Coturnix japonica: one gene and its partners. The protein of the gene in region 2 binds, or shares a complex with, the protein of the main gene of each other region. Links are inferred from orthologs where the notes say so. Each region holds a gene or a part of one and is shown on either strand. Other genes may lie near its edges. The genes, in order: STK25, STRN3 and STK26.

Evidence for each region.
Region 1: STRN3 (region 2) and STK25 share a complex: the UniProt entries of both Homo sapiens proteins name them as parts of the core of STRIPAK complex. The link is inferred for Coturnix japonica from reciprocal best matches to the Homo sapiens genes STRN3 and STK25.
Region 3: STRN3 (region 2) and STK26 share a complex: the UniProt entries of both Homo sapiens proteins name them as parts of the core of STRIPAK complex. The link is inferred for Coturnix japonica from reciprocal best matches to the Homo sapiens genes STRN3 and STK26.

What each region holds. Positions count from the first base shown.
Region 1 is NC_029524.1:3,907,623-3,911,370, reverse strand, and holds the start of STK25 (serine/threonine-protein kinase 25), read left to right. Parts: upstream 1-1,291; 5' UTR 1,292-1,421; intron 1,422-1,514; 5' UTR 1,515-1,549; coding exon 1,550-1,579; intron 1,580-3,748. UniProt on the Homo sapiens protein: Oxidant stress-activated serine/threonine kinase that may play a role in the response to environmental stress.
Region 2 is NC_029520.1:30,893,770-30,897,417, reverse strand, and holds part of STRN3 (striatin-3), read right to left. Parts: intron 2,572-3,648; coding exon 2,396-2,571; intron 2,256-2,395; coding exon 2,208-2,255; intron 1,163-2,207; coding exon 1,041-1,162; intron 1-1,040. UniProt on the Homo sapiens protein: Calmodulin-binding scaffolding protein which is the center of the striatin-interacting phosphatase and kinase (STRIPAK) complexes.
Region 3 is NC_029519.1:3,339,714-3,343,461, reverse strand, and holds the start of STK26 (serine/threonine-protein kinase 26), read right to left. Parts: upstream 2,810-3,748; 5' UTR 2,530-2,809; intron 2,476-2,529; exon of another isoform or gene 2,433-2,475; 5' UTR 2,358-2,432; coding exon 2,316-2,357; intron 1-2,315. UniProt on the Homo sapiens protein: Serine/threonine-protein kinase that acts as a mediator of cell growth. Modulates apoptosis. In association with STK24 negatively regulates Golgi reorientation in polarized cell migration upon RHO activation.

The DNA of each region.
Region 1 (3,748 bases), on a different chromosome or scaffold from region 2:
TGTCTCTCTGAGTGCTCAGTGAGTGCCAGCTCTATCCCCAGGTGCTGGCTGATGTGCAGCTCACCCTCATCACCGGCTCCTGTCATTCACCCTGTTTAAGCAGGGGCACCCTGGGGTCTCCTGTTATCAGGGCAGTGAGAAGAGACCAGCTGGGAAGGCAAAGTATCCCTGCAGATCCATCAGCTGTATCCATTCCTGCCTAAGCAGAGCACAGACGTCTGCGAGGGTTTAAGATTCAGCTTCATCAGCTGTTTTCTGCTGCTGCACAGGAACATGGTTTGGAAGAACAAGCGCTCTGTGCTCTCAGCTTGGAAGGAGCCTGGCTTAATTTGAGGATTAGTCACTGGGAGGGAAAAGATGCTGAGCCAACCCAGGAGTCAGCTCCACACGGAGCTTCACAGCTGCAAGAGCCACTCCTGCTTATTCCACTTCAGCAGCAGAATTGGGAGATAAAGGCCCTTTTCTTTGCTGAACACTCAAAAGAGTCTTAAGAGCCATGATATCAGCAGGGAAAGAGAGTCTCGCAACACTGAGCCTTGTAGTTATAGTCTGCAGGCAGGAACAAGAGTGCTGGAGCTCTAGCAGCCTGATGCAGCTTCTATACACCTAAAGGCTCTGGAAGGGGAACCATAGGAGCAAATGGGCTTCTGCAGCACTCAGTGTGTTCTTTTTGGCAGGGACAGGTTCCCTTTAAAGCTGATCCTTGTAGGAGATGCAAGGACAAGGTTTAAGGCCCGGAGCAGCTTATGGCTGCCATCACACAGCGGTGACTTCATGCCTACCAGGTGGAGTGCAGCCCATCAGCCCAATGCCTTGCACCGAAGGGACGAGCACTTCGGTTTGGAGCTCTGTCTCCCACTACTGTGGGCAGCTCATCGCACGGCTGTGCTCAATGCTCCAGCTGCCATTGGGGCCGAGCTGTTACCGTGCATCCCCACGGGGCCGCGCGGGGCTCAGCGCTGCGATCCGCGGTTGCCACCTGGTGGCAGCGACAAAACAACCCAAAGCGGGTCCGTGTTCATAGACCCACCCGGCAGCCCTGACCGCTCCCGGAGGCGGCCATTAGCCGGGCAGGGCCGTTCATTATGGCTTACCCTAAAGGCAGCCGTCACAAGCACCGACCCCCATCACCGACCCCTATCGCCGCTCCCCGACACCCGCCGCACGTGGGAGCTGTAGCCCGCACCTCCCCTTCCCTCGGCCCCTCCTTCCGCCCCGCGCACAGCCCGCCGGGACATGCAGTCCGTAGGGGCGGCCCCATTGTATCTCTGGGCGGGGCTAGAACTACATCTCCCAGCAGGCATCGCGGCGCGGCCTCCCCTCCCGCTTCCTCCCGGCGGCGCGGCCGAGCTCGGTGTCCCGGGGCGGCTGTTGTCGGCATGGCGGCGCACGGCGCTGCGCGGGGGGAACCAGGGCCGTAGGTGGGGGCTGGGGGAAGGGGGGACAACAAGGGGCGGAGCGGGGATGGCGGGGCGAGACGGGACCGGGCAGAGCCGCCGTGTTGTCTCCCGCAGCTGAACGCCGAGGAGCGCGGCCCCACGGATCCAGCATGGCGCACCTGAGGGACTTCGGCAGCCAGGTAAGGGCCGCCCCGTGCACAGCTCCCATCTCCCCGCTGCACATCGATCCCCGCTTTGTTTGCTGCTGGCTGCTGCCCACGGCCTTCATATGGGGCCGCTCTGCTGCACGGCAAACCGCAATGGACACCGGGCTCTGTAGCCTCAGTGCTGCCGGTCGGTGTCACCGTCGTAAGGTCTCCTCCATCCCGTGTGATGCCGTGTGAGGCCTCAGGGGCTGTAGGTACATCCCGCTGTTGTGATGGCACGAGGTGATGTCATGACTCAGGGCTAAAAGCTGGAGCACAGAATGGTATCAGCTCGGATCGGCTTTCTTCTGGGCTTGGCTGTGGGTATGTGTGATGGTTGGCAGGTGTCAGTGCATTGTGCTGATCCCTAGGGAGAAATCTGGGTGCTTTTCTTTATATAGAGTCATAGAGGAGACACTTGATGGCCATCTGCTCTAACACCCTGCACCGAGCAGGGACACATACAGCTCCATCAGGTGCTCAGAGCCCCGTCCATCCTGACCTTGGGTGTTTGCAGACATGGGGCACCACCACCAATCTGGGCAACCTGTGCCAACGCTTCACCACCCCTACTGTAAAAAACTTCATTATCAATATCCAGCTTGAGTCTTTCCTCTTAGTTTGGGACCGCTTTCCCTCATCCTATCACAGCAGGCAGAGTCTGTGTCCTTCCTTCTTACAGCCCTGCTTCAGGTACTGAAAGGCCACTCTCAGGTCCCCCCAGAGCCATAGCATCACAGAATGGCCTGGGTTAAAAAGGACCATAATGATCATCCAGTTTCAACCTCCCTTCCACAGGCAGAGTCACCAACCACCAGACCAGGCTGACCAGAGTATTTTATGCTTCTAGGTGTACTTCAGTGGTTTGAGGTGATGCTTCCTCCAAACCTTTCCTGGTTTAAAATTGATTTGCAGTGCATCTTTGCTTTGCATGCTGCCTTTCACACACACCGTTTCCTCAAAGTACTGGTGGAATTGAATGCAAATTTAGTGCCTGAATGAGTCACGCTGCAGGGAGAGAAACGAAGGAATGAAGAAGGATACTGCCTGCTCAAGGCAGGGAGCTGAGCTCTGTTGGTGCAGTGTCTTGCTCTGAGTAGAGCTTTGTTTTTAGGCAGCATTCAATAATAGAAGCTATCAAAGTTCTGGTTATCTAATCTGTACATTAGGCAGATGTCAGGTGTTTTATCAGAGTTTGTCATACTGTGATAACTCCAGTGCTAAAATAGGAAAGCAGTATGTGTTATCTATCCCTTCCTTGAGTCTCTTCTGGAATCCTCGGTGGCACCTCATAATCTGTTTAATTGAGGCTTCTTGGAAGAGCAGCAGGAATTGGCCTGAAGTTCTGTGTAGCAATTAGATCGGTGCAATGGGAAAGGCATTACATCAAATGTGTGATGATGATGGAAGGGCTGGCACAACAGAGAGGTGCTACAAAGGAAAGAAAGAAGATTGCTCACCTGGATCAGAAGAGTCTCAGTTTGCAGAGGAAAGCTTCACCAAGGAGAGACCTCCAGAAAAAGATCCTTCCCCAGAGGCAGTCAGCCCTTAAATGGGGTCTAAGAGAGATGCAGCCAGGCTGTACCCCTTCTAGTCTCACTGCTGCATTGCCTTCACCTGTGCATCCAGGGCTGGCCAGGTCCTTTGCCCAGGTGCTCAATCAATGGTTCAGGCTGGGACTCGACAGTTTCCATACATTCTGTTAGCCAAGTTTTAAGCAGTGGTGAGGAGGTGCTGTAAAAATAAAGAGACATACGACTTGGATTGGAATGTAAGGGCCTTCACTTGTCTCTGGTTCCTTATCTATTGCCCATGTGCCGGATTACCTTAGGCAGATCCCTAAGCTGCTTTATCTCAGTGCCTCTGCCTAGGCCAGCTAGGTACTCTCTTCTCTTGGTTGACCTTTGCTGTGTACATACAGCACAGTGGGCCTTTGTTGGGTGCTCTACCCTCTCGATGATGTATTTGCACTGCAGTCTTTAAAGCTCTGAATCCAGCTGTGTTCCCAGTTCTGTTGTTCCTGTAGGCAGCCTTGTTCTTGTCATGGTCTGTCTCCTCTACCACCCTTGCCTGAGCTGCTTTGTTCCTCAGAAAGCATGATACAGCTACCTCAAAGTATAGACGCTTCTTCAGGAAGCTGCCTGTGATGACAGAGCCTGCAAC
Region 2 (3,648 bases):
CCTAAAACAAAAAAGATCAGCCTATTCATCAGTTACTCAAACTCTGAGTTCCTCTAACTCTGATGCCTTCACTGTAATACTGCTTTTTCCCCCCCCCCAACTTACTGTACTCTGCTGACTCATAGGTGCTCTAAAGAATCTGGGCACCCAAATATTGAAACAAGTTTACTTTTGTTGCGAAACAAAGAAATATATCTATATTTTACAGCTACTTTTCATAGAGGGTTTTTCAATAAACCAGGCTGTGAGTAGTACAGAGACAAAAAGGTAGGTGGAAAGGACTAAGTGAAAAATCTCCAAAACTTAATTTTGTGTGAAATTTAAAACAAAGTCTTGCAAACAAAAGCCCTACGGAGGAAAAATAACTTGAGAGAACTCTGGCTTTTAAAAATTACTTTGTTACTTCAGTAGTGACTGCCTGAGGCCCATGTAAATTTTAAGATCACTTTACTAGTCTTTTTAAATTGATGTAAGACAGCATTGCTTCCTCTCTTCACCTCACTGGTACAGATTTTGCAGCCTGAGCGGTGTATCAGATCACTTACTACAGTGGCATAACCAAAAGAGCAAGAATACACAACAGTCCTGCCTCTAAACCAATTCAAACTTCAGTAACATGTGATACTGCTGAACCACACCAGCATAAGGGAGACAAACTAGTTTTTCATACAGTTAACAGCAATTTAAGTCACTGGTTATGGGAAATGAAATGCAAAAACAATTTGCCTACACAGCATTAAAATTCCAGATTTTGGAAAACCAAAGTAAAAAGCCTGTCTCGTAGAAAGGGATACAACCGATATCTTCATTATTTAAACATTACGATTTGCCACTTTCTCTGTTACAGTTCTATAGACAACACGTCACTAATGCAAACGGAAGTTAGCAGCAAACAGTAATTGCATACAAAATTTGAAAGCGCAATTCATTTGATAAGTGGCATTCCCATTGTGCAATAGGCTTCGAAAACATGTTGCCAAGTGGAAAATTTGTGTCCAAGACAACACCTATAGATTGCTTTTCTTTTAAAAGGTGCTTACCGTAGGTGTCATATGGGTCCACGTTAGGGCTAGGCATGTTCCACCACTGGATGGTTGCATCAATACCACCACTGAAACATTGTTCTCCATTAGAACTAATTGCCAATGACAATACAGGTCCACTATTGGGAGACAGAGAATAAGTAGTTTACTGGTACTGACAACAGTACAGTTATAATTTCGCAATCTCTTTTTAAAAAGGCAAAAACAAATACCCTGGATTAAAAAATTCTGTTAAAACCTTAAGTCTTAGCAAGTTATACAAACCTACATTAAAATATATATATAACAATTATCAAAATTTAAGCAATTCAAGAACACAATCTTACTACAGTAGAAACTAAGTCTGCAAAGCAGGAAGGAATGTATACATACATTTATTTATTTTTTTAAACAGACAATCTATGCCTATCTAAAAATGAGCTGTGCTGAAAGAGGTTGTTCTAGCTCCCTACCACTAAAACTGTGAACTTTCTCAGATGGACAGAAACATATGCTTCAGAAAACTGGCTCAGAAAAATAATCGTAGGAGGAGTACTTCTTGGTTAAGGCTAGACTACTGCTGGTTTAACTTCTTGAACCTGTTTGCAGGGACACTAGACAAGCTGTGTCCCAGAAGGAAGCAGCACCTTTGGACATAACACTAAGTCAGGTTTAACTGTCTTGTAAAACAATATCCCAAAATTCGATGGCTGGCTCACAACAGGTCATGCTTAAGATATAGTTTACTGGTCTTAAGTGCAGATTAGCAAACTGAAATTACATATTCTAAGCCGGTGAAAACAGATACTGCTAGTTGAATCCACCTACATGCTTCGACACAGGGATAAATGAATGTCGAGCCTGCATTAATTCCTTTTTTTTTCTTGATGACTGCAACTGTATTTTTCACCTCTCAAAACTGAGGGCTACTATGTCAGACTACTAGAATTCAACCTTATCTATTTTCTTTAGGTATTACATATTAAAAGCCCCAGCCCAAAACATTGCTCAGGCAATTCCAGTATCATCTTCTACATTTCCTTCCTTCTTATTTTATTGTGGAGTCCGCAATTGATGATAGGGATTCAGTATCGATCTGGTTTTAAAGAGTATAATCTTGTCTATATAGTGTTTTATGAATCCAGGAGATCAGAAAATTATCAAGTAATTCTGATAAATACTTACATGTGGGCCCTAAATGTGTAGATGGGTTCTACATCTAAAGAGGCACTCCTGAAAGATGAAGAGGAAACATTATTACACCAAATGAAGTCTCTACTGAAAAACTCTAGAAGCATTTAACAGTTTTAAGAGAATCAACTTCAAAGACTTTTAAAAACAGAACTAATGCTTCATGAAACCCATACACTTACTTTTTGGCAGGAACCGTTTTCTGCAAATTCCAAAGTTTTAGAGTATGGTCCTCAGAGGCTGTAACCAGCACAGGCTCTACAGGATGAAAAGCTAATGCCCGCACTCCATCAAAATGACTGCGTAGCGTATACTTAGGGTTCCATGTCTTTCGGAAGGCATCTTTATTAGCTGGCAGCTTAAAAAAGAGAAGGCATTATATTACATTGAGTTTTAAAACCATGTATAACAAGTATTTGTACATTAAGAAAAGCTTGCTTTTCTTAATTCAGTTGATGCATACTCAAATATGCATTTCACTATTGATCTATATGCATATGCAACTCCCTCTCTGGCATGCAAGAAAGTCTGCAATATATTTTTTTCCTACTGCAGAAGCTTCTTTTGTTCCAGTGTAGAAAAGAACATAATACTGAATATGCAAAGAAGAAGCTTAGATTTTCAATTTTTTTTCTGTTTTAATCCTTTTGTACAACAATACCTTAATTCTTCTACCCAGAAAAAAAAAAAACAAAACCAATACCGATTTCATTGCTTATCATATACTCTGTAACAAAGGAAGAGATTACAACTTTCAAAAGCCCATTATCACTTAAAGACAATTAAAATAAACTCCAGGTCCCCAGATCTCTTCCTTTGATTAACATCTTGACTAAGAATGACAGGAACCATATGCAAATCTTGAATAATTCTACATGATAGGGCATGTACAGAGAAACAGTTAAAATATGAAGGCTGCTCTGAAAGCTACATTTTACGTTATTGGCCCACTACATCATAAGTGGATGCTGGTGTTACGACAGTAGAGATTGAAACTTTCTGACAATATTCCATTATATTTTGTTGCTGTGCAACAAACTGCAGAAGAGGAGCAGCCTAACAAACTGACAGCTGACACAAATGCATTTGAAGCACAGGTGAAACACTGAATTCCTCCATGCAGGAAAAAAAAATGCACTCACCGTTCATCTCTGGTGAAAATGCATAGCTAATGGTGGTGACTATGTTGAAAAATATTATTATATTAAGATATAAAAACCCACAAATTGTAGACACTTAATATTAATGCTAATTATCTCAAAAAAATGTTACCAGAAAACTTCTAGTGAATGCAACAAAGACTAATTTAGATCTCCAAATATAACATATATTAATCAGAGTGTGAAGAACCACCATAAAAGATTACATTCCACTTATCCTAAAACATCCATCCAAGGAAAAAGAAGACATACATATACTTCTCCCTTCCTCTCAA
Region 3 (3,748 bases), on a different chromosome or scaffold from region 2:
GCAAACTGGGCCTTTCAAAGTAAGTGGAAAAAAAAAACCCACATATTCAGGAAATTGTTTGCACAGGCATGAATTGTGTGGTATAACATCTGGTTTTGTCAAGGACATGAGACAGGTTCAACAGAATGCAACCACTACACAAACACATCATTCTGGAACTATTCATAAGGGCAGCAGATAATACTACCTCTGGGTCTTCCATTGTTGTCATACTACTCACAGGCAGAGTTCGAGTTGACCAAAACAACTCTATGGGACCTGCAGTATTTTCAGCTATAAAACATTTAAGAGATCTTAAAACAGCCAGAAGAGCTTGTGTAATGCTTCGGTGATAAACTGGTAATGTCTTTTTAGAGCCTGATTTGTTTGTTTGGGATGGAAATCATAGGATTACAGTAAAACTGAAGGATTCATACCTGAAACACATTCTCTGGCAGATTCTGTTTCAATCTGTTATATTTGGTGAAAACACTTCCCTCAACACAGGCTGCAAACAAGGAGCGTGACATGACATGCACTTGTGCACGGTGCTAGTTTTAATACAGCTATTAGATCTCCCTCCTTCACAGGCAAACCTGTTCATTCCTTCTTTAGTAGCCATGAGTTATTTTAACACTGAGCTGATGCAGGGATGCTTTCGTAATCACTTGGATGATCTTGAATGAACAGTTCAAATAGGTATTAAAAGGAGGGGGGAAAAAGCAAGGTTTAGACTATCAACCTTTGCAAGAGAGATTTTTGTTTGCTTTCTTAAGCTGTATTACAATCCCTCTTAAGGAACAGCGAGGTGAGTAATTTTGCACCAAATCCAATTCCTTTGTATTACAAGATTGTCTGGACTTGTGTAATAGTCTTCATCAAAAGAAGCTATTTCTTAATTCTTTACAGCTGCACATATCTAATAGTTAAAAAAGCAGAGAGAGTTTTAAACATATGTCTATACCTTCAGAGATCTGGGTTAAACTAACAGCACTAAAGGAACTATTACATAAACGTTATTGGTTTAACAACAGAAAACAGGACCTCAAATAATTTCCAAGGTCCTTTGGTGGTGACAAGGCAGCCATGGAAAATAGGTCAGCAATGGATCAAGGAGGTATGACAATAAGGAGCTCATAAGTTTGCACCTTGAAAAAGGAAGTCTTCCAAATATGAAAACATTAACAGAAGATGGAGGATAGAAAGTGTGGCTTATGTCATCTTATACCAACAATTGCACGATCAAATTTTACTGATTTCAGAAGGTCGTTAAGTTACTAGAAGTGAAAAAGGTAAACCAAACCTCAGCATTGCATCCAAGGCAGAATAGTATAGGAGTGGTCTTTATACATCGCTTCTACACTCTAAAAAACATGGAAGATAACCAACCAGGAGAAATTTCAACCTTCTGATCTGAAACCTGAACTCCAAGCTGTGTATCTCACTTTGATGTATCATAAAGACTTCTCTGTTATTGGAAATGAGGAAAGGAAAAGCAACCCCCCAGTCCCTCAGCTATGGGGCAGGTGAGCCAACCCCAAAAGCTGAGAGAAAGGCCAAAAATGCTGACAGAGCTGCCAGCCTGACAGGTAGAAAACAGCGCTGAAATGAGCTCAGCTCCTCTTTGTTTGATAAAGATCTGCACCCAAACTCACAAGGGGCTGTCCAGCAGAATAAGAAGGAAGAGTCACAGCTATCCCAGCCTCCCTCTGAAAAATCACTTACATATCGCTTGTTTGTTTGTTTAAACAAGTTTCACAAACGCTCGAAGGACACCGGGCCTCGCTCCCAGCCAAGGAGAGGTGGCATTTTCTGACAGATGATGGCTCCCAGCGGCACGCAGCACAAACATCGGACCTCCACTCGCACCCTTCCCTGAGCGCCAGGCCCTCATTACAGGCAGAGCAGCAGGGCTCAGTGCTACAGGCCCAAGCGCCGGCGGTGGGCAGCCCCACGGGGCCGATATGTCACTTGCAGCGCACTCCCCGATTCACTTCGTTTGGCCTTTCACCAATTTCAGAAGCTCTTCCACGCTCCGTGTCGCGGCCCATCCCGAACAAAGCGGAGAAGGGCTCTCAGCCCCGTGCGGGCCGCAGGTACGCGGCACCGCGGCTCCTCCCCGGGCCCGCCGCTACCTCAGCGCAGCCCCTCCCGCAACGCGACGGCTCGGGCCCGCTCTCCCCCGATACCGAGCGAGGCCTCCCCGCTTGCAGGCCGCCCCGCTCCGCCCGCCCGCACTCCCCACGACCCAACGGCGGCCTCCGCGCGGCGCCGCTTCCGGAGCCGGAGCGTTGCCCGCCGCCTCCATTTTGGGACCGGAGCGGCTCGGAGCTCACCTGCATGCCGGGCACTTGCACCGCCACGGGCGAGTGGGCCATGGCCGGGCTACGGCGGCCGGGCGCCGCCCGCTGCTCCCTCCTCTCGGCCTCCCTGCTGCTGGGCGGCGGCGGGGCCTGGAAGGACAAAGCGGCGGGGAGCGGCTTCAGCGCGGGCCGCGCTCCCTCCTTCCCTCGTTCCCTCCCCGCGCGGCCCCGCCCGCCGCCGACTCACCTCGCTGGGGCCGCGGGGCCGAGCTGCGCGACGCGGGCGGGAAGGGCTCCCCTAAGGCCGCTGTGCCATGCCCGCCGGGCTCCCCGCGGCGGCCCTGCCCATGCCCCCCTGCCCGCTCCCGAAGCGGGGACGGCGGCTGCTCGGTGCCCTCCGGGTGACGGCTCTGTGCACGGCTGGGGCTGGGCTCACAGCGCCATGTCGGGCCCCGGGCGGCAGCAGGAGGAGGAGGAGGAGGCTGCTGTGCGGCGGCGGCTTCTTCCGTCTCAGCTCCGGCCTCGTGGGGCGGAGCCGCCGCCGCCGCACGGGGCTCGGCGTCACTGCCCCCGCCTACGGGCTGGGCGGGGAGGAGCGGCCGGGTGGCGATGGGGCTGTGAGCGCGGTGTTGTTCGGCAGGGGATGCTCGCCCTGCCGTGGGCCCTGCGGCGCTGTCACGGCGCTGTGTCCCCCCCAGGCGCCTTGTGGCAATGCTTGTCCCCTGCAGGCCCCGTCCTACCGAGCGCAGTGCCCACAAACATGGTCACAGTGCGCGTACATCGCTGTCCCCTGTGCGAATAATCCGGCGGACGTTTATGGTCTTTTCTTGGCTTTTTATTTTGCCTCTCCTCACCTTCTCCTTCCACTGTGGGTCAGGAGAAAATGACATTGTTTTAGGGCGACGTTTTTCCCATTCGTATGTGAGTCACCTCTCCGTGTTGCATGATTCACGTTCCTATGCATTGAAGTTTTGCCAGTTACTCAAGTGAAGCTAAAAATGATATCTTTTATGACGCCTGTCTTCCCCTTCTGAGCAGGCGCACAGGAATCATGAGCGGTGGTCACACTCATATTCAGATACAAATATCCTTGAGGACTTTGCTCAAATTCACAGCTCCATGGGCCTGAAAGCCAAGCAATGGGAAGGTCAGTAGAGATAGCAGGCTGTTGTCCGTACCCCGTCCAGAGGGTGGTTCCCTTCGGAAAGGGTGTGATCAAAGGAGGTCTCTCTCCATTACAACATGGAGAAATGCTGTACTGTGGCAAGGAGCACAAAACACCTCTGTTTAAGGTAAGGCTGTGCTAGCGCCAGGAATTTCAACGTTCAGCAGCCTTTCCAACCTTAACTCCCTGTGGTTTGAACCAGAAAACAACTCGCAGTGATGTTAGCTAAGGACAGACTTGTGGCTCATGCTGGTATTACTTTATTTTCTGACTTGCCACTTTGTTCAGCCTTCACCGTTAT